2 linked regions of the Daphnia pulex genome follow. The protein of the gene in region 1 purifies or fractionates together with the protein of each later gene. This does not show direct contact. Links are inferred from orthologs where the notes say so. Each region holds a gene or a part of one and is shown in the gene's direction. Other genes may lie near its edges.

Evidence for each region.
Region 2: the proteins of phosphoglucomutase-1-like (region 1) and glyoxylate reductase/hydroxypyruvate reductase-like fractionate together in Homo sapiens (co-fractionation; 3 studies listed by BioGRID). This does not show direct contact. The link is inferred for Daphnia pulex from reciprocal best matches to the Homo sapiens genes PGM1 and GRHPR.

What each region holds. Positions count from the first base shown.
Region 1 is NC_060019.1:341,313-358,067, reverse strand, and holds phosphoglucomutase-1-like, read left to right. Parts: upstream 1-5,652; 5' UTR 5,653-5,756; coding exon 5,757-5,999; intron 6,000-6,056; coding exon 6,057-6,338; intron 6,339-6,399; coding exon 6,400-6,553; intron 6,554-6,614; coding exon 6,615-6,805; intron 6,806-6,868; coding exon 6,869-7,023; intron 7,024-7,080; coding exon 7,081-7,191; intron 7,192-7,252; coding exon 7,253-7,393; intron 7,394-7,457; coding exon 7,458-7,641; intron 7,642-7,702; coding exon 7,703-7,837; intron 7,838-7,905; coding exon 7,906-7,995; 3' UTR 7,996-8,227; downstream 8,228-16,755. Other genes in the region: probable ATP-dependent RNA helicase DDX23, read right to left, coding at 1-163, 233-518, 577-863; glycine dehydrogenase (decarboxylating), mitochondrial-like, read left to right, coding at 9,084-9,278, 9,772-9,850, 9,907-10,042, 10,105-10,269, 10,329-10,554, 10,622-10,941, 11,004-11,083, 11,150-11,289 and 9 more; uncharacterized protein LOC124190720, read left to right, coding at 16,175-16,251, 16,327-16,679, 16,752-16,755. UniProt on the Homo sapiens protein: Catalyzes the reversible isomerization of alpha-D-glucose 1-phosphate to alpha-D-glucose 6-phosphate. The mechanism proceeds via the intermediate compound alpha-D-glucose 1,6-bisphosphate.
Region 2 is NC_060026.1:2,645,413-2,661,571, forward strand, and holds glyoxylate reductase/hydroxypyruvate reductase-like, read left to right. Parts: upstream 1-6,600; 5' UTR 6,601-6,615; coding exon 6,616-6,800; intron 6,801-6,870; coding exon 6,871-7,001; intron 7,002-7,057; coding exon 7,058-7,247; intron 7,248-7,322; coding exon 7,323-7,495; intron 7,496-7,554; coding exon 7,555-7,719; intron 7,720-7,800; coding exon 7,801-7,926; exon of another isoform or gene 7,927-8,019; coding exon 8,020-8,138; 3' UTR 8,139-8,205; downstream 8,206-16,159. Other genes in the region: uncharacterized protein LOC124205165, read left to right, coding at 777-1,405, 1,471-1,557, 1,633-1,684, 1,752-1,951, 2,045-2,596; probable serine/threonine-protein kinase nek2, read right to left, coding at 8,341-9,616, 9,685-9,818, 9,897-10,113, 10,181-10,338, 10,403-10,549. UniProt on the Homo sapiens protein: Enzyme with hydroxy-pyruvate reductase, glyoxylate reductase and D-glycerate dehydrogenase enzymatic activities. Reduces hydroxypyruvate to D-glycerate, glyoxylate to glycolate, oxidizes D-glycerate to hydroxypyruvate.

The sequences.
Region 1 (16,755 bases):
TTTTCTTGGCCATGCCCAGGTAACGATCCTTGATGGCATCCATCTCCTTTTGCTTATCGCGGTCTGTTTCACCATCTTTACGATCTTTGGTCTCCTTTTCGCGCTCCCTTTCTCGATCACGTCGACGATCGCGTTCTGGTTCCCTGTTGGTCTCTTTAGCCGCCTAAAATCAATTTTAAAAGATGTCGTGTTAAATCTAAAATAACAAATAATGTAGGATATGAATACAAACCTGAAAAAAGGCATTCCGTTTTGATCTTTCCTCTTCTTGCTGTTTGCGTAGATTTTCAACTTCCTCCTGTCGCTTTCGCATAGCTTCGGCTGCACGTTCTTCTTTCGTGAGAAACTTGGGTTTGCTCTTTTCCTCTTCTTCGGCTTTCTTTTTGGCCAGCAATTCTTCCAGCGACAGGGGCTCCTTTTTAATCGCTTGCTGTTCAGTGTTTTCTTCACTTGCTTCCTGGTCTTTTGCATCTTGTTCGGTTTTCACATCTTTACGATCTCGACGGTCCCTTGGTGACCTAATTAACAAAAACAAATGAATCAATGGACAAATATAATTAAGGTTAATTTCATTACCTGGATCTGGATCTACGTCGTCTTGCTGTTCGATCACGGCTACGAGAGCGACTGCGTGATCTTTTCCTTTCGCGTTCTCTTCTCTCACGATCACGATCTCTGGCAAGATCTTTGTTGTCTCGATTATTGCCACGGTCACGATCTTTGTTGTTATCTCGATCCCTTTCACGATCTTTGTTGTCACGTTCTCGCTCGCGATCTTTGTTTTCTCGCTCTCGATCACCTTCTCTATCTTTATTGCGGCGATCTCGGTCGTCGCGAACGTCTCTTCGATCCTCGTTGACCATTTCTGATTATTCTGTAAATAATCAACAGCTGTTTTAAACAGGTGAAACGAAAAAGATGATAATAAACTGTTAAACTACAGATCCTTAAGTGTCAATCAATTAATTTTCCCTATCTAGTTTGAATATACTACAGCATGTAAAACGAATTTAGTGACAAGAATTTAAAAACTTCAATCAAGTTATTTTCTAAACAAAATAGGCCCCAATGGTTCACAAAGTTGAAGACTATGTTCTAGAAGCTTTTGGCGATTAAATCAAACATGAGGTATTTTAATGTCACCCCAATAGTAAAAACACGTTGCAAGAACATTTATAGTTTTGCTAGTAATTTTTTCACGTCTAATTACCTTTTGTTTTCCTTTAATAATATCCGAAATGAGCTATCACATAAGAAACTTCGCACTTTTTGTCAAGACCACCGCATCATCAATGTGTAGCAGACGACAAAAGCGTTTAAACAACGTCACGATGCCAGACTGGATTAATTCGAAAAAAATACTGCAGCTTATTTTCATTTTGTTGGAAAAATATTTAACGTAGAATTTTTAAAAATTGATAAGAAAAATACATCAGTTATTATCTTGATGAAAATTGGCGGACGTGAAATTGTCGTGCGTGTTGGGAATTTATTGCATCCCAACAGTGATCGACATTATTGCTATTGTTAATTCTGTGTAATTTGTAGGGACCTCAACAGAGGGCCCCAATTTTACCCTCTCTTCCCATTCAATCTATTGTTCCCTACCCTACTCAACCCTAAACCAACTATTGAAATACCAAAATGCTGTATTATACGGCAGTGTGAAATATAAGGACGAACTAGCAACAACAAAGGTGTCATCTCTTATCTCAATCTTGGAAGTTGAACGGTCGACACCGCCAACAAGAGTTCCATTTCCAACATGGTCCTTCGAACTGGAGTTTTCTCCAACCAGTGTTAAGTTAGTTTCGCTCTATCACACTCAAATCTTTCTCTCGTTATCTCCTTTTGCTTAATCATTGCCGCCATTTATCAAAGAAAATTGTGTTTAATTATGGCAGGTCAGTCATTTATTAGAATCTTTTTCTCTCTCTCTGAGTTTAACTTGTTCTCAGGGGTCTAGTAAGCAAATAGATCCCTCTAAACAGTAAATTATTTTTCTTCTCTCTCTTGAATTAAAGCTAAAATATTTCCTCAAAGTTTCTTAAAATTAAAATAGGATTCCTAAATCATTTTTGAAGGGGGATTTCTTTTTTTGTCACGTAAATTATCATCGCCTAAGTTGATTATTCTCTCTTCCCTTTCAACAAATTTTTTTTTTTTGGGGGGATATTGCTTTCCAATATCTAAGATTGGGCAAACTTGGGAACTTCCCTACCTCTTTAACGTGTTCACCTCGTGTGAGCCTTAGGTTAAATTCCCTCTCTATCTCTTGATACGCCTCCCGGCATTGTAAAAACGAATCTCAGCTGATTGGGTTCACTGCCCGTTCTTTAAAAATGGGATAACGCGGGAATCTCTTTCCTTTCAAGAATTTTTTTTTGGGGGGGCTTGCTTCCCTACCTCTTAGATTGGGAAAACGCGGGAACTTCTCTAACCCTTCAATGAGTTCGCCTCGTGTGAGCCCCAGGGTGAAAAGACTTAAATAAATTATCGCTCTCTTTGCTATGGCCTTAGACCATTTCCCGAAAACAAATCTCTCTCATTTTTTGAATTAATTTGCATTGTTTGTTATTCAATCATTTGGGTAAATCTCTCTCTGTCTCAGAAGGCACAACGATCTCTCTAAATACGACAGAAAAATATTCTCTTTTTTGGGGGGCTAGGCCGGTTTCCCCTTTAAACTGGAAAAAACGCGGGAAAATTCTCTACCCTTTCAACGCGTTCGCCTCGTGTGCGCCTTAGGGTGATTAAAACTTGAATTTTTTTTCTCTCTCTCTATTTACAAAGGCCTTCCGCCATTTCGAAACAAATCTCGCGCTCTTACGCTCTTGCATTTTTTGTTTGCTTAAAGGGAAATCTTTCTCTTTTTCTGAGAAGGCACAAAGCGCCCTCTGAGCACAAAATTGGGAATTAGAAACCGCCGTCTTGCGGCAAAAACTCTTTAAATTCTCTTTCCTAAAAATTGTTATTATGCCGTTTGTGGGATTGTAAGGAGCTAGAAAATTACCCTAGCTCCAAAATCATTCAGTTTTTGCAGATATCTTCACATAAAGGAATTCAAAGAAAGTGGAAAAGACAGCAGAATTTAATTCGGCACCACGAATCTCCGAAGACCGAGCAGAACAACAAACAAAAAGGCTAATCAACTTAATCAAAACATTAATTTAAACTAATTATCTTCTTTTCGTACTCTCAGCAGCTCCTTAGGAGCCACCTCCAACTCACAATGGCTCCAAATTACGCAAGAACTTTAATTAAAAAGCATATCACCCGTATCATTAACCTCGTCGAAACGTACAAATCAACAGAAATGACGTTGGAAGCGTTTATCGAAGTCGAAAAATTAGAAAAAAAGCTAGATGGATTCTACAAAACTTATGAGATATTCTCAAAAAGGGTCCAGGCTGAAATGTACAAAGAAGGCGAAGACCAAGAAGAGATCAATGCAGACATCGACACCATGTACCAAACAATGGACGATGTTATTGTCGCCAAAATTCACATCTTAAAGAAAAAACGAAGAGAATGGTTAGACAAACTCGAAAAGGAAGCAGATGACGAAGAATGGGAGAAGGACAGAGAAAGAATGCTCCAAATTCTCCAACATCAGGCAGCAACCCAGGCAGCAAACCAGGCAGCAACCCAAGCACAACTCAATCGGGACATAATCAGTCAGGTGATCGCAGCCATCTCAACAGCCTTTTCAGTGCCCGTCGCTCCAGGAGATGTCAACTTATCACCAACAGCTTCTCAGGAGCCAGCTTCTCAAACAAATCCAGTAATAGAGTCAATTCTCAAAACCCTCTCAACATCTCAATTTGCAGCAGTATTAGTGCCAAACCCAACTCCACTAGAAGTGTCGTCGCTTACGACAACAAGCTGTAGTTTTCAAAACACCCCTTCATACCAGTCAAAAGAAAATATCCAGACGGAAGAAAAAGAGACTGGAACGGCCAGTCTCCCTCACCCACCGAAAAAAGGAGACTCACTCTCGGATTCTCCGGATGGGCCAGACGGATATCCCGACAAAAAAAGGTTTGAAAGGAACGAAATAAAAGAAAATAATTCCTTTGTTTCAAAGTTAGAAAACTCAGCAAATCTGGAAGGAGCAGAAAAAATCCCATCATCGAACGCGAAAAGTTGCTACAGCGACCAAAACGTCAAATCAGCCCAGTCAAAAGAAGTCCCGATGGAAAAGGAGCCTGGAACAGCCAGTCTCCAACAACGACCAAAAAAAGGGCTATCAATCTCAGATATTCCGGTCAAATCCAGTGGAAACAAAGACGAAAAAAGGTTTGAAGACGAGCTGAAAGCAACTAACCTCAAATTTGCAAACTTAGATGGTGTAGATGCAGTGGAGTCCAAAAATCTCTTGAGCTCCTCTAGCAACGAAAAAACTGCTTGCACACTCATTATTCAAGAAGCTCCAGCTACTCCGGCAGAAGCTCCTCGTCCTCTCATTATTCTAGAAGCTCCAGCTACTCCGGCAGAAGCTCCTGGTACTCTCAATCTTCAAAAAGCTCCAGCCAATCCGGCAGAAGCTCCTCACTCTCTTAGTCATCAAGAAACTCCTACTTATCAAGCAGAAGTTCCTGACACATTCAATTGTCTAAAAACTAAAGATTCAATTATTAGGATTCCGCCAGCCGGCTCCAAAGAAAAGGATATTCCTACCTTTCTTTTTTTCCCCTCGGGAAGGCCAGCTGCATCGCTGGAAACACTTAACTCTTTTCCGAGTCAACTTAAACAAACCAACTTCTCTTCTTCTGGAAATTTATCATCGTCGCCAGAAATCCAGGAAGCTTCGAAAGAAAATCCTCAAGAAGCCGCTGCATTTGTCAATTCAACAAACGTAGAAAGCAACCAAGAAATCATTCCGAAGTTCAGATCGCCGTGCAGTCAAGCAGCAATTCTTCCGGAATTGGCCAATCAACAAAACTCAATGAAACGGAAGCGCTTGGAGCCAGTAAAACCAGCTCCTAAACGCATCTCAAGGTTACCAAGTATAGAAGAACATCTCATCAACCAGTTGCTGTTCTCTTATTCGTTAACCCAGGTACCAAACAAAATCGTTTCACATCTACTAAAAAATATTCTTGTGTTAAAGGACATTGAAGAAGATTCCAACACACACCAATCGGTATGGGATCCTGGTGGCAAACTTCCAAAGAGTCAGCCAACTCTCAATCGGAATCAAATGGAATGGACAATTAACTGAATCCGTAGCCAGTCAACGAAACAGCTCCTCTTAATCCAGGCCATCCATCTTCAACCGCATTTTCAGATCTCCAATCCAACGGATATCAAGTCGATCAGGATGTCGAGCCAATTGAACGGGCTCTACTGGGGAGTGTGTTGGGAATTTATTGCATCCCAACAGTGATCGACATTATTGCTATTGTTAATTCTGTGTAATTTGTAGGGACCTCAACAGAGGGCCCCAATTTTACCCTCTCTTCCCATTCAATCTATTGTTCCCTACCCTACTCAACCCTAAACCAACTATTGAAATACCAAAATGCTGTATTATACGGCAGTGTGAAATATAAGGACGAACTAGCAACAACAAAGGTGTCATCTCTTATCTCAATCTTGGAAGTTGAACGGTCGACACCGCCAACAAGAGTTCCATTTCCAACAGTGCGACCGCAAACACGTACAAGGTCAAAACAGACGACGTATCATTGACTTGTCCGTCAAAAAGTTCTAGTCTCAGTCTCTTGTGCTGTAACTACGGGAGAAAAACTAAGATGTTGAGTCCAATAAAAGTACCTACAACGCCATTTGAAGGCCAAAAACCTGGCACTAGCGGCCTAAGAAAAGCGGTTAAAGTATTTTCTCAGCCACATTACACGGAAAATTTTATTCAGTCGTTGTTAACTGGAGGACTTGGTGAGGCTCTAACCGGTTCGACTCTGGTACTTGGTGGAGATGGACGATATTTCTTGCACCAAGCAGTCGAGATCATTGTCCGCATTTGTGCTGCCAATAAGGTACAGATCCTTGTTATTCCGTTTTAAAAATATGGTTCTAATGTGATGTCATTACAGGTATCCAAGCTGATTGTTGGGCAGAACGGAATTCTTTCTACTCCTGCAGTCTCTTGCATGATTCGCAAGTATAAGACCAACGGTGGAATTTTGCTCACTGCCAGTCACAATCCAGGTGGTCCTGATGCCGATTTCGGCATCAAGTTTAACACCTCCAACGGTGGGCCTGCACCTGATGGTGTAACCAACAAAATCTATGAGCTTTCTACTGGAATCAAGGAATATTCTACAGTACCAGACCTGAAATGTGATATTAAGACCATTGGAACTCAGCAATTTGATGTAAGAAAGCTAAAATTAGTGATGTCATTCAAAATTTCATACCATGTTCCACTCTTTGTAGATTGAAGGCCACCCATTTACAGTTGAAGTCGTAGACTCTGTCAACGATTATTTGGAGTTGATGAAAGAAATCTTTGATTTTGGTTCTATCAAAAACCTTATTTGTGGAACAGGTCAAACCCCTCTGAAAGTGTTGATCAATTCAATGCACGGAGGTATTGATCTTTGAAAAAGTCTTTAAATACGACACCATTTGGCTGACCACTGTTTTTTTAGTGACCGGTCCTTATGTCAGCCGCATATTTTGCGAAGAGCTTGGAGCTAGCGCACAAAGTGTCGTAAATGTTATTCCCCTGGAAGATTTTGGAGGACATCATCCTGACCCGAATCTTACTTACGCCGCCGACTTGGTTCAAGCTATGAAAGAAGGCGATTTCGGACTTGGAGCCGCTTTTGATGGAGATGGAGTAATTAACTTTCATTAACTCTTAAACTTAACTCAATATTTCAATGTGTGTATTTAAATGAAGGATCGAAACATGATTTTGGGTGAGAAAGCCTTCTTCGTCACCCCTTCCGACTCTTTAGCAGTCATCGCCAACAATATGGATTGTATTCCTTACTTCCGTAAAACTGGAGTTAGAGGATTTGCCAGAAGCATGCCTACTGGTGCCGCTGTCGATAGGTATTAATTACATTATTGGACCACTGAATTTGTTTTAACTAAATAATTTTTTATTAGGGTTGCCGTCAAATTGCAGAAAAGTATCTACGAAGTCCCCACCGGCTGGAAATACTTTGGCAATCTGATGGATGCCGGACAACTGTCGCTTTGCGGCGAAGAAAGTTTTGGGTAAATTTTAGTACATTCGAATTTTATTTATGAAAATATTTCATATCTGCAATTTTAATAGAACTGGCTCAGATCATATTCGAGAAAAAGATGGAATATGGGCGGTTCTTGCCTGGTTGTCTATTCTGGCCACCAGGAAACAAACAGTCGAACAAATTCTAAAAGACCACTGGACTTTGTACGGGCGAAACTTCTTCACGAGGTGAATTAGAGGTTACGTAACACATTTATGTAACGTTACTTATGACATTGAATTGACCTTTTAGATACGATTACGAAAATTGTGATTCCGAGCCCTGCAACAAAATGATGGCCGACCTTGAGGCACTCATGAACGAACCCTCGTTCATCGGTTCTGTTCACGAATTCGATGGCAAATCTTTTACGGTGGCCCTGGCCGATAACTTTTCTTATACCGATCCCATCGATGGTAGCCTCTCCTCCAAACAGGTACTACAAATGTCTTTAACGGAAATAAAAATGTCAGTATTAATTCATTTTGATCCTAAAGGGATTGCGGATCATTTTCCAAGATGGATCGCGTATTGTCATTCGCCTGAGCGGCACTGGAAGCTCAGGGGCTACTGTCCGCCTTTACATCGATAGCTACGAGTCCGATGCTGATAAATATCTGCTTGACGCCCAGGTATACCATATTGACATTGATTGATGTAACCCTGAAGCTTTTAAAGATAAATGCCGTATTGAATTTAGGTCATGTTGAAACCACTTGTTCAGATCGCGCTTCGAATTTCCAAGTTGCGGGAGCTGACCGGCAGAGACGAGCCCACAGTTATTACGTAATAATAACGCCGTTTTTAATCAACAACTTGCCGAGCAATCGAGCTGCAGTTATTCTTAGTCAGCGCTCTAGTTTTTGTTTGTTTCGTGTTGGATTTTGGGTAAGATATGAATTAATAGTCTATAGAAAGTGTTGTTGTTGTTGTTGAAATTGGAATCTCTCCTGTTATCATTAAAATTTAATATTTGCCGAGTGGCTAGCTGCTTTGTCTAATAAAACAGGCAATCTTTGTGATACTGCGTGAACTGTCTATACTAGTCCCGATGTGATGATAGGGAAAACCTAATTCAGATCATACGTACGTATTTATCTCTCGGCTGAGAGGTAGACCTTCGGTACAAGTTGCACCACGACTGACGCTGAAGCCAATCTACACGCACTGGTACGTATAGGAATTGTTCCCGGCACTTTGCACCTTATCTTTTAACATACGACATTTGTCCTTGAAAAGGAAAAAAAAACTATACTTTGGACAAATCCGTTTTGACACTTATTTGTTTGCACTGAATTATCGCTAGCCTAAATCTATTTCGACCAAGTGTCAACTTATGTCTGGGTCTGTAACAAATTTAGCGTTTTGATTTTTACAAAATGATTGTATTATGTAACTTTGGTAGATTCGATCGTTAAATGCGTTTCAGTTCAATGTTTTCTGGCCAACATCGCAGTTGGGCAGTTACCTATACGTCAACAAAATAAAATTAGCCGAGTCGAAATAATGCCCAGCAGTTGATGGCAGTGAAAGGATCCGCGTGCGGATTGGCCATGGACTGAAGCCCAAGGGCGCCAAATGAGCTTTGAAAAACCGCTTCGCGCTGGTTCGGGATCAGTTTCGCTTATGTACATATCTCCCCCCCTCCACCTTATTGCCTATACCCCCACATTTCCTATGTACACACACACACAACCAGGTCAAAGTCGCCCGTTTCGTCCGCACTGAAAAAGTCGAATGCAAACCTCTCGATTCGCTCATTTCGTTTCGTGCGCTCGTCGTGGTGAGGTGTTACTTGCACAGTCTCCCATAGTGCTGTAACAGTGCCCTGCGGTGTTGTTTCATTTGACTCACGTTGTGTAATAATTGGCCTTAAAGATGCAGAATCTATTGAGAGTGGTGGGTCCTCTGAAAGAATGCATCCGCACCAGCTCGAGAAGTCTTAATACTGCGCAGCGGATTTGCGGAACGCATTTCGACCGCGTCGTGCCCGCTCGGCAGGCATTCAAAAGTCGACATATTGGACCCAATGAAGCCCAGAAGCAACAAATGCTTCAAGTAGTTGGGTGCAAGGTACATTTCACCTATTTTTACAAGTATTGTGTGTGGTGAATGTAATTCTTTGAAATTCGAAACAAGTTTCTATTTTACTAGTAGCCCAAATTTCGTTAGTCTTTTGTTTTTCCTTGTTTTTGTTCTACAGTCGTCTGCTCCATCCGTTTGAAACGTTTTCTTTTTCCATCACATTCGTCCTTCCGCAAATAGCAGTGCCCATACATTTCGTCCTTGAGAATTGTTAGGCCTTCAAAAATAATAGGGAACAGATTTTGTTTAGTCTTGGCATTTGAAAGCCTTGAAACTTGGAATGCGTAGACACTGGACCCGCGGATTAATCCTAAACTTTACAGACGTCTAGCATGTTGTTAAGAATCACGTTGAATCACGTTTAGAACAACACTGATAGGCCAATATTGTGACATATCTGTTTGTTTGATATATATTTTGATCCTCTTATCTATGAAGGTTATTGTATTAATAACTGTTTTGATTGACAACGAACAAATAGGATTTGGACACACTTACCCAGAATGCGCTCCCACAAGGTATTGAGTTGGGAAGGGACCTTAACCTGACAGAACCATTAGGTAACAATAATAAGATTTATACAAAAATGTGTGTTTATGAGTTAACCTTGTGCTAGATGAATACCAGCTGATGGAAAGAGTGCAGGAGTTGGCAAAGCAAAACAAAGTTTGGCGCTCATTCATTGGCATGGGATACTACAATTGCCATGTTCCTCACCCTATTCTACGAAATCTATTTGAAAACCCTGGATGGTAAGTCTCCATTTTACATAACAAACTTTAACTTTTGTTTTCATTCTCTTTGTGGAATGCAGGTATACCCAATATACTCCATACCAGCCAGAAATTGCTCAAGGACGTTTACAGAGCTTGTTCAATTACCAGACTATGATTGCTGATATGACAGGCCTAGATGTGGCTAATGCTTCACTACTCGACGAAGGCACAGCGGCAGCTGAGGCCCTCGCCATGTGTAGCCGGTATGATATAATTCTGACGTCTAATGAAAATCAACAATCATAATATCTGTTTATATTAGATCTAACAAGAGAAAAGTATTTCTAGTCTCGGATAAACTCCATCCACAGACAACTGCCTGCGTTGAGACCCGTTGTTCTGCCATGGGTTTAAAAGTCAAAATCGTCGATTTCAGCACCGTGACTGAAGTTGAAAAAGATATTTCGGCCGTTCTTTTCCAGTATCCCGATACTCATGGCTCGGTTCAAAATTTTCAAAACCTCATCGACAAGACCCACGCCGCAGGGGTAAACGTCATGAATAACAAATCAAATATTCGCTATTTTCTTTAATGTATAATCATATTTATTGCAGGCCCTAGTTTGCTGTGCTACAGATTTAATGGCACTCACAATGATGAAGTCACCAGGAGAAATCGGTGCCGATGTCGCTGTGGGCAACAGCCAGCGCTTTGGTGTTCCTCTCGGTTACGGAGGACCGCATGCGGCCTTCTTTGCCTGCAAAAACAACCTGGTTCGAATTATGCCCGGCCGAATGGTGGGCGTCTCGAGAGACGTCGATGGTAAAGACGCTTACCGCCTAGCCCTGCAGACACGCGAGCAACACATTCGCCGTGATAAAGCCACTAGCAACATTTGTACAGCTCAAGCTTTACTTGCCAACATGGCTGCCATGTAATTTTATTCCCTTTCCATCGGCACGTAGCAGTACAATTGAATTATTCATTTGTTTTCAGGTACGCAGTTTACCATGGTCCTGCCGGCTTGCAAAAGATTGCTCAACGAATTCATCACTCAACTGTTGTCTGTGCCAAAGGTACGGATTTAACAAAGTTGGAAACGAGTCAAAGTGGATCTAAAAAGTGACGTTTCATTGGAACAGGTTTGGAGTCTGGCGGTCACGTAGTGCGGAATAGCCAATTCTTTGATACGCTCAAAATTCAACCGTCTTTACCCGTCCAAGATATTAGAGCACGTGCAGAGGCGCAAGAGATCAATTTGCGCTATTTTCCCGATGGAGATGTACTAATTGTTGAATTATTTATTTCGGTTGATTCAATTAACTTTTAATTATTTTTTTTAGATTGGTATCTCCATTGACGAAACTGTTCGCGAGAAAGATATTAATGATATTTTCGCCATTTTTAATGTCGATGTAACAGCCGAACAAGTAAGACTTGACATATTTATCAGTTAATTGGATGTGAGTATAATGAAATCATTTTTTTCAGGTGTCTCAGCGACCAGATATTCTTTCGTCCAGTTTGGAACAGTCCGAGTGGAAGAGGACCAGCTCTTACTTGACTCAGCCCGTCTTCAACTCACATCACTCAGAGACGCAGATTATGCGCTACATGAAATCCCTGGAAAACAAAGACATTTCATTAGTTCACTCTATGATTGCTTTGGTAATTTGTTTTCTGTTTACAATTGTGTTTCCTCTTATTTATGCATATTCTTATTTTCTTTTAGGGTTCTTGCACGATGAAATTAAACAGTGCCACTGAAATGTTGCCGTCCAGTATGCCTGAATTTGGCAATATCCATCCATTCGCCCCCGTCAGCCAGGTCGGCGGTTATCATCAAATGTTTAAAGAGTTGGAAGCTGATTTGTGCGATATCACTGGCTACGACAATATTTCCTTTCAGTCAAACAGGTAATTCAATCAAAATTACTTTCAATAACTCGTCTTCATTCATTTGAAATTGATTCAAACAGTGGAGCTCAGGGAGAGTACTCAGGACTGCGCGCTATTAAGGCGTACCTGGATTCCATCGATCAAAAACAGCGAAACGTCTGCCTGATTCCCGTGTCCGCCCATGGAACAAATCCAGCTTCGGCTCAAATGGCCGGATTCATGGTCGAACCCATTAATACGGACAAGGCTGGTAGCATTGACTTGGCTCAATTGAAAGCAAAGGTATTTCTACCTGTAGATCTGTAAACTCGATGGAACATTTTTTGACAAAATAATTTTCCAATTCCAGGCCGAAAAGTACAAAGATAGATTGGCCTGCTTGATGATCACATACCCGTCGACCTATGGTGTTTTCGAGGAAAAAATAGTTGAAATTTGTGACGTCATTCATCAACGAGGTGGTCAAGTTTACATGGACGGTGCCAATATGAACGCCCAGGTAGCCCTTTGCCGACCCGGCGACTTTGGCTCGGATGTCTCTCACTTGAACCTTCACAAGACGTTTTGCATCCCGCACGGTGGTGGCGGACCTGGAATGGGACCCATCGGAGTGTAATTAAAATTTTGAGTTTTCCTTGATATCCCCAAGTCATTTCAAATTTAATTTCATCGTGTAGGAAGAAACATTTGGCACCTTTCTTGCCAACACATCCAGTAATTGATCCTCTTAATGGACAGTCTTCCCAGTCGTTTGGTGTTGTCAGTGCAGCTCCGTTTGGTTCACCCCTCATTCTGCCCATCTCTTGGTCTTACATTAAGGTGATTATTCAAGATTACCTTTATTAAAAGGCATTGAATTAAATTTTGTTATTAATTAGATGATGGGTGCCCGAGGTTTGAAAGAAGCTACCCAAGTTGCCATCCTTTCGGCCAACTACATGAGCCGCATTTTGGAGCCCCACTACAAGATCTTGTTTACCAATCAAAGTGGCTGGGTGGCCCACGAATTCATTATTGACGTCAAGGATTTCAAACGAACTGCCAACATCGAAGCTGTCGATATTGCCAAGCGTCTAATGGACTATGGTACGATACCAGCTTGCAAAATCATTTCATCCAGACAACTTATTCTTGTTCGGTTACAGGTTTCCATGCTCCAACGATGAGCTTCCCAGTTGCAGGATCGCTGATGATTGAACCAACTGAATCAGAAGATAAGGACGAGATGGACAGACTTTGCGAAGCTCTCATCCGCATCCGGCATGAAATTCACCAGATTGAAAAGGGTGTAATGGATCCAGTGCGTAATCCTCTTAAAATGAGCCCACACACACAGGAGCAGATCATCAACAGCACATGGGATCGACCCTATTCCCGGGAACTGGCTGCCTTCCCTGCGGTAAATTTCCACTTTTCCATCTCGAATAAATTTGATATTCATTTTCCATTGTTTTCTACAGCCTTTTGTGCGTCCCGAAACGAAAATGTGGCCGAGAGTTGGACGTATCGACGATATTTACGGCGATCGTAATCTGGTCTGCACCTGTCCGCCAATGGAATCGTACACGAACAAAGATTCAGACAGTCTAGATGGAGTTGCTGCTGCTCGAGCGTAAAAGTGGGAATGAGCTAATTGCTGTAGATTCTCATTCCAAGTTGTTGTGCCTTATATTCCGATCTTCCCGTCATTCTCCATCTTTAAGTTTTAATATTATTTTCCGTTTCGTTCATCCGCCAACAAACCGGCAATAGAAAGTTTTAATCGCCAATCAGAACATACTACACCATGTTTAAGTTTACAGAGCAAAATACAAATTCATGAAGGCATATTGCGAGTCTCTCCGTGATTTTTCAAATGACCTTGTGCTGCGTCTGCTATGTCGTCTGAAAAAGGGGAGGAGCGACTTTGAAAAAATGGAACAGGATCTACGGAATCACGTGACATTTAGTAGGTTCTTATATTTTCCAGCGCGAGCTATTCGAAAGTTGCCCGATATATTTCCCTTGGAAAAACGGTAAAGGTTAGTAACCTAATATGTAGAAAGTGAACATGTTTTGGTTTCGTCTTGTCTATGGATGCGAAACACAGAGGGTACGTGTGTCCTTCAGATTTTCCCATAATTGTCCATCGCGCTTTATTGCTCCGCGTGCAAGGCTTGGCGCTATGTATAAAACCCTAATGCTCCGATTTCAATGTATCATTCGCCGACATCCTTGCGCTCTGAATACAGTTACTGGAACGTTTCTGCTACCTACCAACGATGAAACTAGTGCTGGTGGTAAGTCACATTGACGTGGTTAATAATTTATTGATCACACTTAAATTCATTATTTTATTTTTTTAGATCGTTTTGGTTTCTTTGCTGGCTCTGTCTGGAAGCAGAGCATCTCCTCTACCGCAGGGTCGGCAGCAGGGGATGACGACCAACAACAATGCACAAAAACAATCTAATTCGCAATTAACGTCTCAAGTACAAAATACAAACCAGGGATTGGCCGCTGCTCTTTTCTCGTCTACTTTTGCGAGCGCACAGCAAGTGTTCCAGGCAGTCAGTAGACAACTCCAGGGATGGTCTCGACTTTAAAAATATTCTGGGAATCATATAATGTAACAAATTATTATATTATATTGCGTGTAGTATCTCCTGCTTGCGTTCAAAAACAGACAGATGAAACAAATTATTTATAATTTAAACAGAAAATGTGGTGTACTATTTTTATCACATCTCTATTTATGTATCCAGTGTCTGAATACATTTATTTAAATGAATCTTCTCGGCTATAAAAAGGCTTGAAATGGTCAGAGTTCCAAAAACATAAATTACCTGTTTGCCTGTGGCAATCGTAAAAGGTAACACATGGCTGAGCATAAACCATACAGTCCCAGAGGCCAACTCCAATGAAGAATAGAGTGGCTTATACTTTCTATTGTCCTTGAAATTTTTTTAAAAAATGTTTCTTTGAAAGAAATTAATTTTAAGTTTCGGCAATTGCGATGAGCGAAAATATGAAAGGTTTCGGCGATCATTTATCTAAACATATCTTTTGAAATATTATTGTTCTTTTAATGTATTGGCCAAAACCCATTATCGACTTGGAATCGCGATCGCTGCTACTCCCGAGTTCGAAGGCGTTCACAACTTTGAATCAGTTGACACAATTCTTCAGCTAAGAATTGCATCCACTGGCAGCTGATTCAATGCTATACGAACCGCTTCCTCGAAGTCGAACTTGGTTGCGGCAACGACAGCGATTCCAAATTGATAATGTGTTTTGGCCAGTAATATAGTTGTGTACCCGTCACCCTTCAAATACTTTTCCGTAGCTCAAATCATGATGAGTGACATTTACATGTTGCCTTCTCGTTAATGATATGTTAGTAAGCCGAGTTTTGTTTTTATTATTTGATAAACATTTTCCCTTGGTGTTAATTGTTAAGTTCAGTTTTTTATAAACGTTATTTTCGCTTAACAACTATCGTAAATCAAAAATAGGAACACATTTCCGTGTTGCCCTAGCTCGATGCCCCCTTCATCGGCTCAGCCTTCCCTGCGGCAACTCGAGGCCTGGAGGGATCCGAATGACCTTAACGAGGCGAAGCAGACGAAATCCACAGGTACAACACGATGCAGTCTGCACACCTTTGCTATTCCTGTGCGTACACGATTTAGTTAGTCTGGTGGCCCGTAGTGAGATCGCATTAATTGTGTTTTTTAATTAGAAGATATGAAGGTCGGGTCTAGTCATGCATGAGTCATATCCGAGTGACGAATTTCTGAAAGTGCCCTAATGTAACGTTCCTCAGCTTCATGCCTAGTTTGTGTCAGATCAATTCAGAAGCTTAATAAATTCCATCTGGGCGATTTCAGTCAATGGCCATCGTTGCAAATCAGTCATTTTTCTTCTTGCAAATAATTAATACTATTATTTCCATTAAACGTTCAAGATTTTGTGATAAACCGCGGTGGCGCATGTAAACTACAAAGATGGCGGACTTCATTTGTTTTTAATTGAAATTTCTTCTTCCCTTTCATCAGTTGTTCTTCTGCTGTTCTCAACAATGGATTGTAGGCATATTGCCTAACACCAGAATTTTTTGAAATCCAAGTTATTCTTGAAAGTTGTTTTGTTGAAGGTTATCAGTTCAAGTAACTGGACACTTGAGGCAACTCTTTTTTATCTCATCAAACGGATTCTGAGAAGGGGCCATTTGTTCTAATCCGTTAAACGTTCATATTAGTTATTGTTTCCCCAAAAAGCTGGCCGAGATGGACACTACTAATAATTGTCCCAAAAGTGAAGAATTGATTCCTACTGCATCAAAAAATATGGCAATTTCCGCAGGGTAAATATTCACTTATGCAGTGATTAAATGAAGACTTTTTTGTTGGTTTTTGTTTACTCAATTTTTTGTCTACAGGAAAAAAAATTTGACAGACAACTGCCTATATTGTGGTGAGCGTCTCGATCCGACAAGACTTGTGTTTCAAGTAAATTTGCTCACATTGAAGGTGTCGTGTCAGAGCTGTGATAAAAAGAATTATTTTGGAAAAATTCGTCAAATTCCGATGCCACTTCCATCGCCTCCAGTGATAAAACGTCCGGCCGGATACCAGTTGCGTGAAAGAAATCAGTCGGAATATCAAATCTTCTTTGATTCATTTTCTTCTAATAAAGAATCGTCTGGAGAAGAGTCTGAAGAAGAGTCTCCATTGACTACGACTGCTGAAAACCAAGAATGTGTGTCATCGTCGAATCGCTTAACTCCAGAAGGTATCGTAGAGAAATTATGTCACTTTCATTTAGCTTTGTTTATTCATTCATTTTTATCTTATTATTTTAAAGAAAT
Region 2 (16,159 bases), on another chromosome or scaffold:
CCCAATATCAAATTTGTATTTCCTCTTATAATAGAAAAGTAGGCCGTGAGAAAGTTGCGCTGACCTGTGAAAAAAAACAACTCAAAAATCCCCTCAAAAAAATTGCAATCGACCAAATTGTTCGAATTTGGATGATCAAAAAATTCAACACATTTATTGATCGCGCGTAGACAACGTCGCATTTCGACTTTATATGTACAGCACCGCGCTGTCTGTGCGCATTTGCCGTCTGATTTATTTCCACCGAAAAAATAGCTATTATACTTGTGTTGGTGGTACAGTATGTAGGGCTGTCTATAGGACCAGAAAAAGGTTCTTTATCCATCGGACGTAACCGAAGAAGAAGAAAGCGACCAACAAGAACTTTTTTCTTAGCTGTCGTATTGTAAAAAAAAGAAATAAGATTGGAGGGTTGACATTGCACCCTCCCTCCCAGCCAAAAAAACATATATACTGTGACCTGGAACCTTTTTTTTTCGGTCCCCTCCTTATGGCCCATGGAAAGTTTTTTTCTTTTACAACATCTTCTGCCCTCCTCATCCAGCAACCCTCCGGTGAGCCGGAGGGTGGACCAACTTGTGCCACACCACCACCACCACCACCGGGTTGGATGTTACAAAAGGAGCCATCCACCCGTTGATTGGCGTTCAGTTGCACAAGTGAAGCGATCGAAGAGAGACCTCTCTGCACGACTCTCTCTCTCTCAGTCTATTTTTTTTTTAGTTTGATTGAATCATTTTTAATTTTTATTTGGGGAAATTTTGAAATTGTTGAAGTGATCAAAGAAATGGGTGGAAGTCCGCAACAGCAGTACTGCCTCCGCTGGAATCAGCACCGTTCGAATTTATTAGGAGCATTTGATCATTTACTGCAGACGGAAGCGCTGACGGATGTGACCCTGTCGTGCGGAGGTGCTTCCATCAAGTGTCACCGGATCATTTTGGCCGCCTGCTCCGGTTACTTCCAGTCGCTCTTCGTCAACGACAACCTGTACCTTGGCTCGCCGCAGCAGCATCCCATCGTCGTCTTCAAAGACATCCAGCTGGCGGAATTGAAGGCCATTCTCGAGTTCATCTACCGGGGAGAGGTGAGCGTCGCTCAGGAGCAGGTCGGCGCTCTCCTCAAGGCCGCCGAATCGCTCAAAGTCAAGGGACTCTACTCCGAGGACAGCGCCGGAAGTCCGGCCGGATTGTCCGGTCTCAGCTTCGAGCCCACCTCCGGTCACGCCGCCAATTCCGGATTCCTTCCGCAAATTCACACTTTGCCGGCTGCAGCGGCGGTGGCCTCGCACATTCCTCCGGCTCCTCCGGTTGTCCAGCAGCAGCCTCAGCCGGTCGTTCAACACCTTCCGGCCAGTCTACTCCAGATGCCCCTCTTCAAACGTTCACCTGCCAAAACTCCCGAGGTACATTTCAACATTTGACAATTTTCTTTGAGCAAAAATTTCAATCGATTGAATTTCATTGACAGAGGACCAATAGCAGTTTAGATAAGGAAAGAGATGGATCGTCCAGTTCAGAAACCAATCCGCCTGAAGATGACCGTGAAGAGCCCATGGTATGAATCAAATGAATTCAAATTTCATTTTTATTTCCGTGATTAATTAAATTTGTTATTTGATTGCTTTTACAGGTGACTGATCGAATCAAATCCAACCATTCTCCCGTCTTCAATCACGTCAAAGGTAATGCATTTAATTACATTCTAAATGAAATTAAACTTAAATTGAATTTTTAAAAAATTCGATTTAGATTTGGCGCAAAGTTCTTCACTGTCCGAGTATCACGTCAATAACGGCAAAAGCAATAATGGCAACCGGCCGGAATTGAAGCGCTACCGACAGTACACCCGTCACGATATCGCTGCCGCCATCGAGGCCGTCCGTAGCGGGCAAAGTGCCTTGCAGGCATCGCGACTCTACGGCGTTCCGTCCCGCACTCTTTACGATAAGGTTCGTTTCTTCTGAACTTATTACGATTACAATCGTTGCGAAATTTCCCGTGTAAAATCCAACATTCCGTCATTTCCCTTTTGTTGTCTGCAGGTGAAGAAATTGGGAATCGTGACTGGCCGTCCGTACCGCCAATCCATCGCCGTTGCCGTTTCTTTAGCTCAAGGCGGAAATCTCTCATCCGCCGGATCTCCCGGATCGCGGATCAACGGCGGAGGCAACGACGACGACGACTCGATGGATGTCGTCCATCCGCACCACAACTTGCACCACCACCACAACGGCCACTTCCACCGCCGTCCCAACACACTGGAAGAGTTGAGCCTTTACTTTGCCGCTTCTCCGGCGGCGGCCGCTGCCGCCGCCGCCGAGCTGGCCCTCAGCCAGCACGTCCTGGCCGCCCAAACGGCCCGCGGTGTCGTGCCCCCGCAACCGCCGTCGACGACGGACGACGACGACAGCGGAACGGGAGGCTTCCATCCAGCGCCGATCGATTTGTCGCAAAACTACGAGCGGATGATGCGCAATCCATCCGGCGGCGGCGAGGTCGACCATCAGCCGCCGACGGTCTCGGTCCGAGACGTGGTCGCGGTAGACACGTCCAATAAAACCAGCGAATTGCTGCTGGTCGACAAAAGCGCTTGAAACGCCATCTCTCGGTGCTCCCAATTGCACTTCAACAAATGTCTCACACGTGTATACGAAAATAATAATAATAATAATTTAAAGTCAGGACAAACTTGTGTGAAAGATTTTTAAAATAACTCGGATAAACATTTTGGTGTGAGCCGATATACAGTAAAAAAAAAAATGAAATGTCGTAAATAATTTTTGTTTTTGACTCTCAGGAGACTGATTTTGATGATGTGAATTGACAATGTTTTTTTGCGTGTGATTTTATTCATTATTTTGTATGATCATCCATGTTGCGAGGTGCGTACCTGCATATTAATACCATGTCGACGTAACTACTACCTCTCACGAACTCTCGATATTGATGCTGTTCGCTCAACACAATTTTTAACGTATACGAATGAGTTCTTCCGCAGAATTAGTCACGATTCAAGAGTTGCAGATCTGTTTCTGTATAAAATTATATTTGCCCATTTTCTTATTATTTTTTGGTAACCTTTTTTCTCAATTTTTGTAATTTTTTTTGGCTGTTCCTCCTGATGCCAATACATGTTAATATGCCCATAACTAAATAACCAGCAGCCCCCGCGAGCGTCAGCCCGAGTTTTGATGAAAATCGATTTGCGTCCCACCAAGTTGGACGGCCGTGAGATGAGATTCTTTTCTCCCGAAAAATAAGAAAAAAAACCGGGTCTATTAGTATCTTAATGGCGTGCAGGGTTAACCATCGGCACAGCACAGCACAGCACAGCAGCTGCGCAGTAACGGGAATTGCATATCTTTAATCTGAAATGATGATGACTATATGCCTACACGACGATGTTGAGAGGGTCTTTTTCCCGTTCATTATTCACGTCACGTCGAACTTTGCTGACAGCCAGGGGTTCACCACTTATTGGGTTTTAGGGTGTACTAAGCAAAAATTTCTTTTGCTTACAATTTGCGTACTTTTGGATTAATTTTTGCGGACTGCTTAATTAGCATACTTTTTGTTTTTTTTGCTTCGGTTGCGTAATTTTTTTTGCTTCATTTGCATACTTTTTGCTTTATCGACGTAATATTTGCTTCATTTGCGTATTTTTTGGCATAATTTGCGTGCTTTTTTGGCGTCATTATATTTGCATACTTTTGGCCAACTTTAACCACGATAAGTTGTAAAAGTCATGAAAAACGAGTAAACTTGGATTCAATTCGATAAACTTAACTTGAGTTGTACTTTTTTTTACTTACTTATTTTCATATTTTGCTGAAAATGTTCATGTTTTACTTAGAAATTTGCATTTTTTGCTTAATTTGCATACTTCAAATTTGCTTAAAAATAACCTCTTTCGGGCAAGGTGTACCACAAAGTCACGAACATCATTTTTTAAATGGTGAACCTCCTTTCTCTTAGCCAATATTGTGCTGGCAGGGTTTTCAACAGATAGTAATGTCTATAAATATGAAATTCCATGTCCGCAGGGTTTTATTACAAGCAAATCTGAGGCTGAGCGGGAGGGATATTAAAATTCATCTGTTGATTTCGTAGTAATTGATTTTCGAAGTAATTTGGCATCGCTGTTTGAGTTATTTAAAAGTAGTCAAACAACAAGTCAACAACAAGTCATTTACTGTTGACAAGTCGATCAAGCCTGAAGCCGAATGCTCCGCTATTTTCACAAGATATCTATTGCAAGAAACGTTGTCGATAGCTGGGTTTTAAAACCAACTCATGTCAGACGTTTTGCGACTACAAGTCAAAGAATGAACAAACCCAAGGTTCTCGTCACTCGTGGGGACATACCCAAAAGCGCCATCAGTATACTAGAAGAAAAGTATACCTATATTGGCATTGTGGTTGTTAATTTTACATTTTGTATGTTTATTTCTTGCTAGGTGTGAAGTAGAATTGATGCCAGATCATTCCCCGATTTCCAGAATTGACATCCTGAACAAGATTTCTGGAAAGGATGGTCTTTTCTGCTTGCTTACCGATAAGATAGACCATGAAGTCTTAGAAAAAGCAGGTAATGAAGTTGAATTGAGTTAATGCTTCTAATATTGTAAATGTTTCAGTTTAGGTCCACAGCTGAAAGTCATTGGGACAATGTCTGTCGGTTATGACCATTTGGACATGAACGAAATTAAAAAAAGAAAGATATCTGTGGGCTATACCCCCAACGTACTTACCGCTGCCACAGCTGAATTAACTGTTGCGTTAACGTTAGCCACCACAAGGAGGCTATTTGAAGCCCATGATGAAATCACAAAGTATTGAAAGCAAAAGTTTTATTTACTTTGTTCAAAGTCTGCTTAAAAGATTTATTTATGTGTAAACAGTGGTGGGTGGGCCAAATGTGCTTGGGGACCTTTGTGGATGTGTGGAGGTGGACTAGTTGGAGCCAAAGTAGGAATTGTTGGACTAGGTAGTATTGGTCTGGCTGTGGCCAAACGATTGCTACCCTTTGACATAGCAAAGATCATGTACTGTGGAAGGCAAGAGAAACCTGAAGGTATGAACTCCACTTTCTCTCATTCATTCAATCAAGTGAAAATATTTAAATACGCTTATCTCCCAATCTCTATTTAGCTGCTCAAGTGTCTGGAGAATACGTGACATTTGACCATCTTCTCAGTGAATCTGACGTGGTTATCATCACCTGCCCTTTGAACGATACGACAAGAAATATGTTTGGCCCAGCTCAGTTTGCCTCAATGAAATCGAACTCTGTACTGATAAACACCAGCCGAGGAGGTTATTTGCATTAGTTTCGTATATGGAGAACGTACTTGAAACAATGTCATTTCAATATCTTTAATTCTTATGTATTTGTACGCTTGACAGGTGTCGTGGATCAAAGTGCTTTGGTGCATGCTCTGAAAACGGGACAGATAACAGCCGCAGGACTTGACGTGATGACACCCGAGCCTTTACCAGTGGACCATGAACTGACACAACTCAAAAATTGCGGTAGCCAATCATTCGTGTATTATTCCATTGATAACACTACCACTAAATATCTTAATGTCTCTATAAATTTTCTTTTCTTTTTCGATCATCTTAGTGCTGATCCCACACATTGGAAGCGCGACACTACAAACGAGAACTACTATGGCAACGATGACTGCGCAAAACATTGTCAATGCATTGGAGGGAAAACCCATGCCGGCCCAGTTATGTTAAAAGCAAAAGTGAGAGAGGAGTAACAGAAAAAAACAATTAGGTAACATTTCAAAACGCCACGGGGTTAGTATATAAACGAATGAATATGTAAATGCAAAAACATAAATGATAGGAACCAAACAGCCTCTCTTAAAAGGGTGGAAAACCTTCCTTGTTTTTAATAACCTTAAAAGAAAAGAGAATATAAGAGAAATATATTCATATAACGTAAACCGATGCTATTCGATTAATTCAGCGGCTCAGATTGCTTCAACATTTCTCTGATCTGAGTCTCCCACAAGTGAAGTCGTTTCTCTTTATGAGCCAGCTCCTGTTCTTTCTCTTCCAACATTTTAGCCCACCGCTGCAGATGTGATTCCTTTAGAAACAACTCGGTGACGATCGCGGACGCCCCATGGATTCAATGACGTTCTTGATAATAGGAGATGGCATGGGGCTGGCATGAAGAACGCTTGATGTGGCTTTGGGATAGGCTGTTCCATTCTCAATGGATTGGATGTCCACGTCATCGATGTAAGTCGCCGAAGCTTCCTGGTCACTCATCATCGATAGGTACTGATTGAGGGACAGGTCGGAGCAGTCGGCGATCGAGACTTCCAATGTATCTTCAGCAATGACGGTAAGGTTTTCTTTAGACGAGATGGGGAAATCAGTTTCCAATACTCTTTTTAGTCGTCTACTCTCCTTCCACCTCCTTTCCTTGCTATAATTATTGAGTGATGGAGAACCATGAGAGGAGAAGGCCTCGTTTCCTCGTCTGGAGTCAAAATAAATCGTAGAATGGAGAACAGGTCGCGGGAATAAATCTTTGGAATTTACTTTTCTGCAGCAACACCTAAAGTTTGAAAACAATAGTCGATCAAGCCTGATGCCGATCGAATGCTCCGCTATTTTAGCAAGATGTTATGCTATTGCACGAAATGCTGTCGATATCTGGGTTTTGAAAGCCAACTCACGTCACACGTTTTACGATAGTCAAAGAATGAACAAACCCAAGGTTCTCGTCACTCGTGGGGACATACTCAAAAGCGCCATCAGTATACTAGAAGAAAAGTATACCTACAGTATATTGCCCTTGTGGTTGTTTATTTCACATGTTTTATGTTGTTTAATTTCTTGCTAGGTGTGAAGTAGAATTGATGCCAGATCATTCCCCGATTTCCAGAATTGATCTTCTGAACAAGATTTCTGGAAAGAATGGACTTTTCTGCTTGATTACTGACAAGGTAGACCATGAAGTCTTAGAAAGAGCAGGTAATGAAATTGAATCATGCTGTTAACGCTCATAATAATTAAATATCTCAATTTAGGTCCACAGCTGAAAGTCATAGGAACAATGTCTGTCGGTTATGACCATTTGGACATAAACGAAATCAAAAAAAGAAAGATATCCGTGGGCTATACCCCCAACGTCCATACCGCTTCCACAGCTGAGTTAACTGTTGCGTTAACATTAGCCACTACAAGGAGGCTGTTTGAAGCCCGTGATGAAATCATAAAGTATTGAAATCAAATATTTTTTTTTTTACTTTGCTGTTCAAAATTTACTTTGAAGACTGTTTTATATGTGAACAGTGGTGGGTGGGCCAAAAGTGCTTGGGGACCTTTATGGATGTGTGGAGGTGGACTAGTTGGAGCCAAAGTAGGAATTGTTGGACTGGGTAGTATTGGTCTGGCTGTGGCCAAACGATTGCTACCCTTTGACATAGCAAAGATCATGTACTGTGGAAGGCAAGAGAAACCTGAAGGTATGAACTCCACTTTCTCTCATTCATTCAATCTAAATTAAATCCTAGTATCTATTTAGCTGCTCAGGTGTCTGGAAAATACGTGACATTTGACCATCTTATTAAAGAATCTGACGTGGTTATCATTACCTGCCCTTTGAACGATACGACAAGAAATATGTTTGGCCCAGCTCAGTTTGCCTCAATGAAATCGAACGCTGTACTGATAAACACCAGCCGAGGAGGTTATTTGCATTAGTTTCGTAAATGGAGAACGTACTTGAAACAATGTCATTTTAATTCTTATGTATTTGTACGCTTGACAGGTGTCGTGGATCAAAGTGCTTTGGTGCATGCTCTGAAAACGGGACAGATAACAGCCGCAGGACTTGACGTGATGACACCCGAGCCTTTACCAGTGGACCATGAACTGACACAACTCAAAAATTGCGGTAGCCAATCATTCGTGTATTATTCCATTGATAACGCTACACTAAATATCTTAATGTCTCTATAAATTTTCTTTCCTTTTTCGATCATCTTAGTGCTGATCTCACACATTGGAAGCGCGACACTACAAACGAGAACTACTATGGCAACGATGACTGCGCAAAACATTGTCAATGCATTGGAGGGAAAGCCCATGCCGGCCCAGTTATGTTAAAAGTGACAGAGGAGACAAAAAAAAAGAAAAAAAAAACTATTAGGTAACATTTCAAAACGCTAGGAGGTTAGTATATAAATGATTGAGTATGTAAATGCATAAACATAAATGATAGGAACTAAACAGCCTCTTTAAAATGGGTGGAAAACTGTCCTTGTTTTGAATAACCTTAAAATAAAAAGAAAGGGGGAAATATATTCATTTAACGTAAACCGGGCAAATTATGCGACTTGAGCTTAGCTCGCAATTCGTTCGATAAAATTTTGGAATCATTATTTTTGATGCTGGTTGGACGGGTAGGAAGTGGAGGGCCTTTTGTGGACGGGTCATATCTCAGACTCCCGCCGTGGTTCTCCTTGTCGGCTTTCAATAGGTGTGATGGCATTTCGAATTTGTTTCTTGGCTCACTCGACTTGCCCGTTCGAGTTTTCGTAGCTGCAATAGGGATGGATTTTTCCTCCATGAAAATGTAATCCGTTTCGAGTTTGGGTGGGCCACTCATTTTAGGTGGCAGAGGTGGTGGTGGTGGTGATGATTGCGCAAGGTGATGTTTCTTCCTCTTCATCTCAAGCCAGTGGAGTCGCTGTTCGGCAAACATTTTGGAAGCCGCTTCGCTCCTGGCCTGGCCACCACTGTCGTCGTCGGATCGCTGGAAACGAACTTGCCGGCCTGCCTGATACCGTGTGAAAGGATTCGTTATTTTGGAAGGGTCCATTCGCACTGTAGTCGGCTCCAAAACGGAATCTCCGGGGTAGGCGCTGATTGTACTGTCCATGTCAGTCTCTACTCCACTGCTTTCGTTGGTCAGGTGTGGTTGAGCATAGGAATTCTGACTGCTGCTATTCGACTGATTCAGCGGCCCAGATTGCTTCAACATTTCTCTGATCTGAGTCTCCCACAAGTGAAGTCGCTTCTCTTTATGGGCCAGCTCCTGTTCTTTTTCTTCCAACATTTTAGCCCACCGCTGCAAATGCGATTCCGTTAGAAACAACTCGGTGGCTTTTCGAGACATTTGCGAATTATCGGCTGACGATCGCGGACGCCCCATGGATCCACTGAAGTTCTTGGTAATAGGAGATGGCATGGGGCTGGCATGGAGAACGCTTGATGTGGCTTTGGGATAGGCTGTTCCATTCTCAATGGATTGGATGTCCACGTCATCGATGTACGTCGCCGAAGCTTCCTGGTCACTCATCATCGATAGGTACTGATTGAGGGACAGGTCGGAGCAGTCGGCGATCGAGACTTCCAATGTATCTTCAGCAATGACGGTAAGGTTTTCTTTAGACGAGAGGGGGAAATCAGTTTCCAGTACTCCGTTCCTTCCGTCTACTCTCTTTCCACCTCCTTTCCTCGCTTTAATTATTGGGTGATGGAGAACCATGAGAGGAGAAGGCCTCGTTTCCTCGTCTGGAGTCAAAATAAATCGTAGAATGGAGAACAGGTCGCGGGAATAAATCTTTGGAATGCTCCCAAATCTAAACGAAACAAAGTAAAATGGGTTAGAGATCGTAGGAAAACGTAACTAGTTAAGAGAATAACGTACTTCCAATCTGTGATTTGATTTTTAGAGTCGTTTTCTACTCTAAACGGCGTCTTCAATGTACACATTTCGTGGACGATGCATCCCATCGACCAAACATCAGATTTTTCATTGCACAATCCCAAATTTTGTAGCTCCTTAATAATAGGTTAAGAAATAATCATGAGTATTTGCTCTTGCAAGAAAAATGGAATGCATATACTGTGTGTACTCACAGGGCACATGTAGTAGGGTTTAGATATGAGACCAAGTCCGAAATCTCCAATCTTGATATTGTGTGTTTGAAAGTTGAAGTATACACTTGATGGCCTCAAGCAGCGGTGAAAGATTTGGCTTCTGTATGGGTCTTGCACTAGAGAAAGCGAGTGTAAAGCTTGGGAAAACTGTAACAAAACCGTCCAAACCAAATCTTCTTTAATAAATGTCTTTGACCTGTGATATATGATTTAGCAATTAGCATGCAAAGCACACATTATAAAAAAAATATTTACTCAATTACCTTCTGTGATAATCAATCAATGTCTGCAAACTGTCACTGCCACCACATTCAGTTATTAGATACAGAGTAGAAGATCTCCTTTCAACGATGGCATCTTCGTGGTGGATAATGTTTGGATGCCTTAATTTCTTCAGTGTGTTGATTTCATATATCACCATCTTAATTTTTTTTTATGTGTTAGCAAGCAAACACAGAAATTAAGTAAAGATAACCAATTATTACCTCTTTCAGTGCATCATCCATAGATTTGTAATTTATTTCGCGTCGTTCAAACAAGCGACCGTCAGATCGAGATATTTTGTGGCGTACACCAAATTTGCTGTCGTTTAACGTTTCTAAAACTTGATAGTCATCCATTTTGGAAGTCATCTTTGAGATTTGCACAATGCCCAAAAGCGGGAAAAATAGGCGAAATCGATTGTAATTCAGAAGTTTGACTAAATACAGCGATTTGACAGCTTGTAGGCAAACTGACTTGCTACTCTGAAAGCTTGTTTAAAAAAACAAAAGTTGACGGTTAGAGGCCAATGCAGAAGAGATTGCAGTGGCGCCAAGAAAGCGAAGCCATGAAGCCATAGAACGCTATCATTTATTATTTTTTCTAACGGTTTTTCTTTTGTCTTCACTCTTCACTAATCATTTTTCTAATAATAAAAAAAAAATTATTTTTGGTAATAATAAATAATTTTTTTTTTTTTATTTTTTAAATAAAAGGTCAGTTTTTATTTTTGTGTCGGCTGCTAGTGGCTACAGTTGGTTCTGTTGTTCTAACGTGAACATTTTCTCTGGTTTTTCGCTGCCTATTTTCATTATAAGATGCCAACTTTTTCACAACTGATAACGCTGAATGCAGCAGTTGAGAGATTGCGAAAGATTGAATTCATTTCTAAACAACTGAAAACCTCTGAGGTACTAACGTTCATTATCAGCTAGAGTCCTTCCAAGAATCCGAGATGAAAAAATTCGTCGAAATATGAAGGTATTAAGATATTGTTTTGTTTATAATTCGTGCAACTACTTTCATATTGTGTTAATACGGAAGTTTGGAATGGTTTTGCGAATCGTTTATCTCATTCGGAGAAGTTGTTACTGTAGAGGCAATTGCGAGTTGGTAACGCTACACTTCGAATCGTTTATTCGTTTAGCAACCTCCCATTAAAACAGCCTTAAAGTTATGACATAATTGTTTTAGGTACTTGCGAGATAACTTGAATGTTGATTAATTGGCTAAGAGAAACATTATCTTTTTTGTCACACGTAGTTTGCAATCGTTTATCGATTGTTAAAATTCACTGGAAGCTCTGAACGCAAGAAGGATAAAACGCGCGTTTACATCACGTGTTTTAAAGCTGTTGGTTATCCAGGTTGCGGTTGCCATTGTTTCCTATAGGAGTAATGAAAAAAAAAATTGTTTCACTTTTTCAAACAAGCCTCAGCAAACAAATAAGAACAATTCTAATTTCAGATTCAACGTTTTGATCTCAACCTAGAGAAAAGTTTGCGTTCGCGCGTTTTATACTCTTTCCTGCGTTCAGTGCTGCATTCAACCATTTTATTTTGAAACCTCGGCCCCGCTTTTTTTCGATGACTATTAGACTGCAAAATTTGTCGTCCAGCTGGAACGCCAGTATTCTCAGTGGGAACAGCGGAAAGAACATTAATCGTATTTGGCTGTTGCAGCGTCGAGTCTTTTCGGATGGACGAAATTTCATTAAATTTTTTCAATCTGAAATGTATCAATTTCTACTAATATTCTTGCGTGTTTTTTGCGAAATTAAAAGAAGTATATTTAATTTTTAAAAATATATTGTACCAAATAACAAAACTGGATTACCTTTTCTCTCATAGAATTTGCAGATGTTTTGGTGACACTTTGCGGCTTGCGTTCCCGATGCCATTGATTATTCTACGCCGTTCTCCAAATACGCTAGCAGCCTATTGGCGGAGATATCTTCCAGATGGTTCGACACATCCGCGTTTAGACATGCAAATACTTGGCTGCTATTCAAATAATACGGTATTTATGCTTACCCTTTACCAATTTAAAATCGTTTTGAGTTGGTCAGCGCGTTCATTGAAGTGCCACTGGGTCAACTGTTGAAAGAGTGAACTCGGAGAAGAAGCTCTTTGACCTGCGTTCACTATTTTCCACAAGTTTATTTTTTTTTTAATATCGTGATTCGTGATGACTTTGCTGCAATGGTAAAAAGAGCGTCAACGCTTTTGCCATCATCATACTTTTCTCAAAGTTGAGATCGAGCACATTTTCAGCGGTTAGTTTGCCTTTGAATTTAAGCAAAGTTCTTCGACTTCGGTAATTCAATCGGTTCTTTCTCTCATGAGTAATACGGGAGGGCAGACAATTATAATTAATAGGTTCTTTTTAGCATATCCGTGTTCGTGTCAAAATGGTGACTTGCGTCAGTTGCGCCCTGCGACAAATTTAAATTGATTCACATCATAAAAACATTTTTATTTCCAGTTGAAACAAACGAACAATGTTTAAAAATTAGGCAGATCCTTGTTTTTGGCTGACTTTCATCGTCCAATAGAAAATGCTGCGAACTAACAAGATCATGGCGACGAGAAACAATCCGACGTAACCGGCGTACATGACTCCTTTCGAAGTTTGCTCCACGTAGATAGCTCCGTACGCTACACCGGCAGCCAGGGCAATAAACATGGTGCTCAAAATCAGGAAAACGATGGCCCATTTCCTAGCGAGTTTGGGTCCACCGATGGACGTCATGTTCTTGCAATGAAAATGAGGGCACCGCACCAATACGCCAGCCGGATCTGCTGGCTGGTCAGTCCGGAATGGGTTGGAACAATAGGCGCAGGTGAAGAGCGTACTGGGGATGGCGTTGTGGGCCTTTAAAGTAACGAGATGAGTGGTCCTCTTGCAGCTGGATCGTGGGCAGACAATCTTAAGAGCCGATTCCCTGCAGATGATCAGACAGTTGCATGGACAGCGGACGTATTTCTTTCCGGCCGGAGCGGGTCGTATGGGTATGCCTTCGTGGCACTTTGAGCACTGGAAAACACTTTGATCGTTCGTGTCGAAAATGTTGATTTCGCTTCCGCACACTGTGCAGCTGATCAAGGGGAAATTCACAGTTGACACAATGGACGATAGACTGACGTATTTGGTACTTCCATAATCGCGAACAAGTTTACTCGGCTCGGAATGCATTTGTAGTTTTTGGTAAATCACAAAGTATGAAGCAAATATCATCTGTTGTTCGATTCGAGTATTTCACTTGTTTGCTCAACGACTGACACTTGGTAATTGGTGAAAAACTAAGAAGCTGTTGCATATATAGGTGATTCAATATGACCAGGCGAAAAGCATTTCTCCTCCTATGAGTCATTAAAGAGCCACTTGATTGTTTTCCTAGTATTCGGATTGTAGTACGATCTCCTGCTGGTCTCCATTCGCTAATCGAATGGACCGGACAAGTAATCCTTGTTGCTTGACCTTCGTCCTTAGCTGGAAATGAATTTGTTAACGGGGGTGGGGATTCCTATTTGATTTGATTTCTTGGAGGTGAATTATAGTCATAATGGCATTCCAAGTCTATTTATAAATTTTGAAAACCTTGCAGTTTATTCTTGCAGATTCACGTTAATGACAAATGTGTCACTGTTTTAAAGTCGCTTGACTTTATTACGATTTTCCGTGACTCATAACCTTCAAATGCTTCATCAATATTAAAACTAGTAGCTCTTGTTATAAGTTCCCATCAATTATATCGGTTTTGGCTGTGCCTAACCAGGTTAAATTAACGGGAGCTTCAATATTTTTCAAAAGGATAAAGTAGCTGAATGCTTTAATATTGAAACTCATGGGCTGTACGGATTTTGTAGTCATTTAAACACCCTGTTATTATTATCGACTTATCCAAGAGTACCAAGACAACATTGACTTCTTTGATTGCATCGTAACGAATTGCGTGATAGCATGCAATATCATACAGTGGGAGTTCTCGTGAGAATTTGAAGTATAAACTACCAAGCTCGAATAAAGGTCAAGCACATCGTTTACCTTATTAATTATACTGCAGTCGAGTATTTTATTTTGTAAAACGCTTTAATTTGAATGATTGTGACACAAAAAAAGATATTAAGTAGACCCTTGTATTAAGCTAACTTTCATGGTCCAATAGAAAAGACTTCGAACGAATGACAAAAAAGCAATTAGAAACATTCCAACGTAGATCACGTAAATCCCTCCTTTGGTAGATTCTTCCGTGAAAGTCGTGGTGCAAATGAGGCCGACAGCAGCACCTGTGAAGACGAGGCTCATAATCAAGAAAATGATGGCCCATTTTCGGCCGAATTTCGGGCTGCCAATGGACGAGACTTTCTTGCAATCGTGATCGGGACATCGGGCGTACGTGCATCCGCTTAGAGCACTTTTGGGCAGGTTAAACAGAAATTGATTGGAACAGTAGGCGCATGTAAAGATGGGAAGAGAATTGGGTGTCTGGAAGGATTGCTTTGGAGCCAAGTTGATGATCCTTCGGCATCCAGGTCTAGGGCAGGCGATCTTGGAGGCCGATTCGTGGCATATCAACAGGCATTTGCAAGGGCATCGCACGTACTTTTTGCCGGCCGGTGCCCGGACCATCGACGTGGCTTCGTTGCACTGATTGCACCTGACCAGACTCTGGTGCCTTTGCTTGGAAATGTCGAAAAGAGTTTGACAGGCCGCACAGCGGATGAGCTGGAAACCGCCAGTCGATTGCTCAGCTCCGATGCTTTTCCACGGGCTAGCGGCCTCGGCAACTGTTGCTCCGTAATTTTGCGTAATAGAAGTTCCAGTTTCCATCTGCGCCGACGCCTCTCCTGTTCCATCTTCGAGAATTGCAAGTAGTTTCCGTTGCTCTTTGTCCATTTTCGGGATGTCGAGGAAGAGATTTAGCGAAAGAAACTGCTGAATAGGTGAGCTGGCGGGTTGCTTACACAACTGTCTCTGCAGAAAGAATTAGGGTTTACAAGTGAAGCTGTATACTTATATAGGACTGGTCAAACAAGGGGGTGAGTCTTATCTTGTTTCCCATTGGTTCCTGAAACGGAATCGATGGGGTTTTGTAATCCGTCCTTGTAACCTTCTTAAAGCCTCTTTGCTCATATTGACCAAGGTTGTTAATTTAACGGGAACCGTTAATCGTTTAGCCAATTGGGGTTGGATATGGTCAAAGTGTTTATCTTGGCACTTGTGTTTTTTCTGAAGAAAGCTAAAGATGGGGGAGTGGTCCACTGGGAGTGCTGCTGATTGGAGTAAACTCAGCCTTTTGTTGTATAGTGTGGTGATCTAGTTCTTTCTAAGTTTAATTGATTTTCAGAAAGAAGTTTTTAAAGAAGTTCTTTTGCGGTTAATAATAGAAAATGACGTAATTCAAAAGCAACATGGAGATTTTTTTCAACCGTTATTTTTATTTTGTAAGTAACAAATTCCAGTTTGAAGATTCGCGTCACGGAGAAAGAGTTCCAGTTACCTATTGTTTTGTTTTTTCACGTAAAAAGCGAGTTAAGATCAATAAAAAAAGGACACTATGTTTGGGTTTGGCAAAACAAAATATTATCTATTACAATACATTTTTTTTTAAATTCCAGATTACAATCGTCCCCTCGCCGCAAAATCTGTCAGTTTTATTCATCACATTTTGTTCTTCTGCTGCGAACGTAACGCGGTCGCTTATTAGAACAAAATGCATACAAGGTAAATGATTGTATCTACAAATTGCTTAGATTGAGTTATCGCATTCGAATTTGATAGTGAACCTGTTTTAAGAAGTTGGAGTGCGCCCATAAAAGCCGCAAAAAAGAGCTGCAAAACTTCGTGACTCGATAAAGGACGACAATCGCCACCTCAGAATATCGATGATCATTCACGATCTTGATGGTACGTAACGTTCCTTTCCTCAATCTAACATTCTGAAATATGAGATAGAAATAGGATTTTTAAAAATCGGC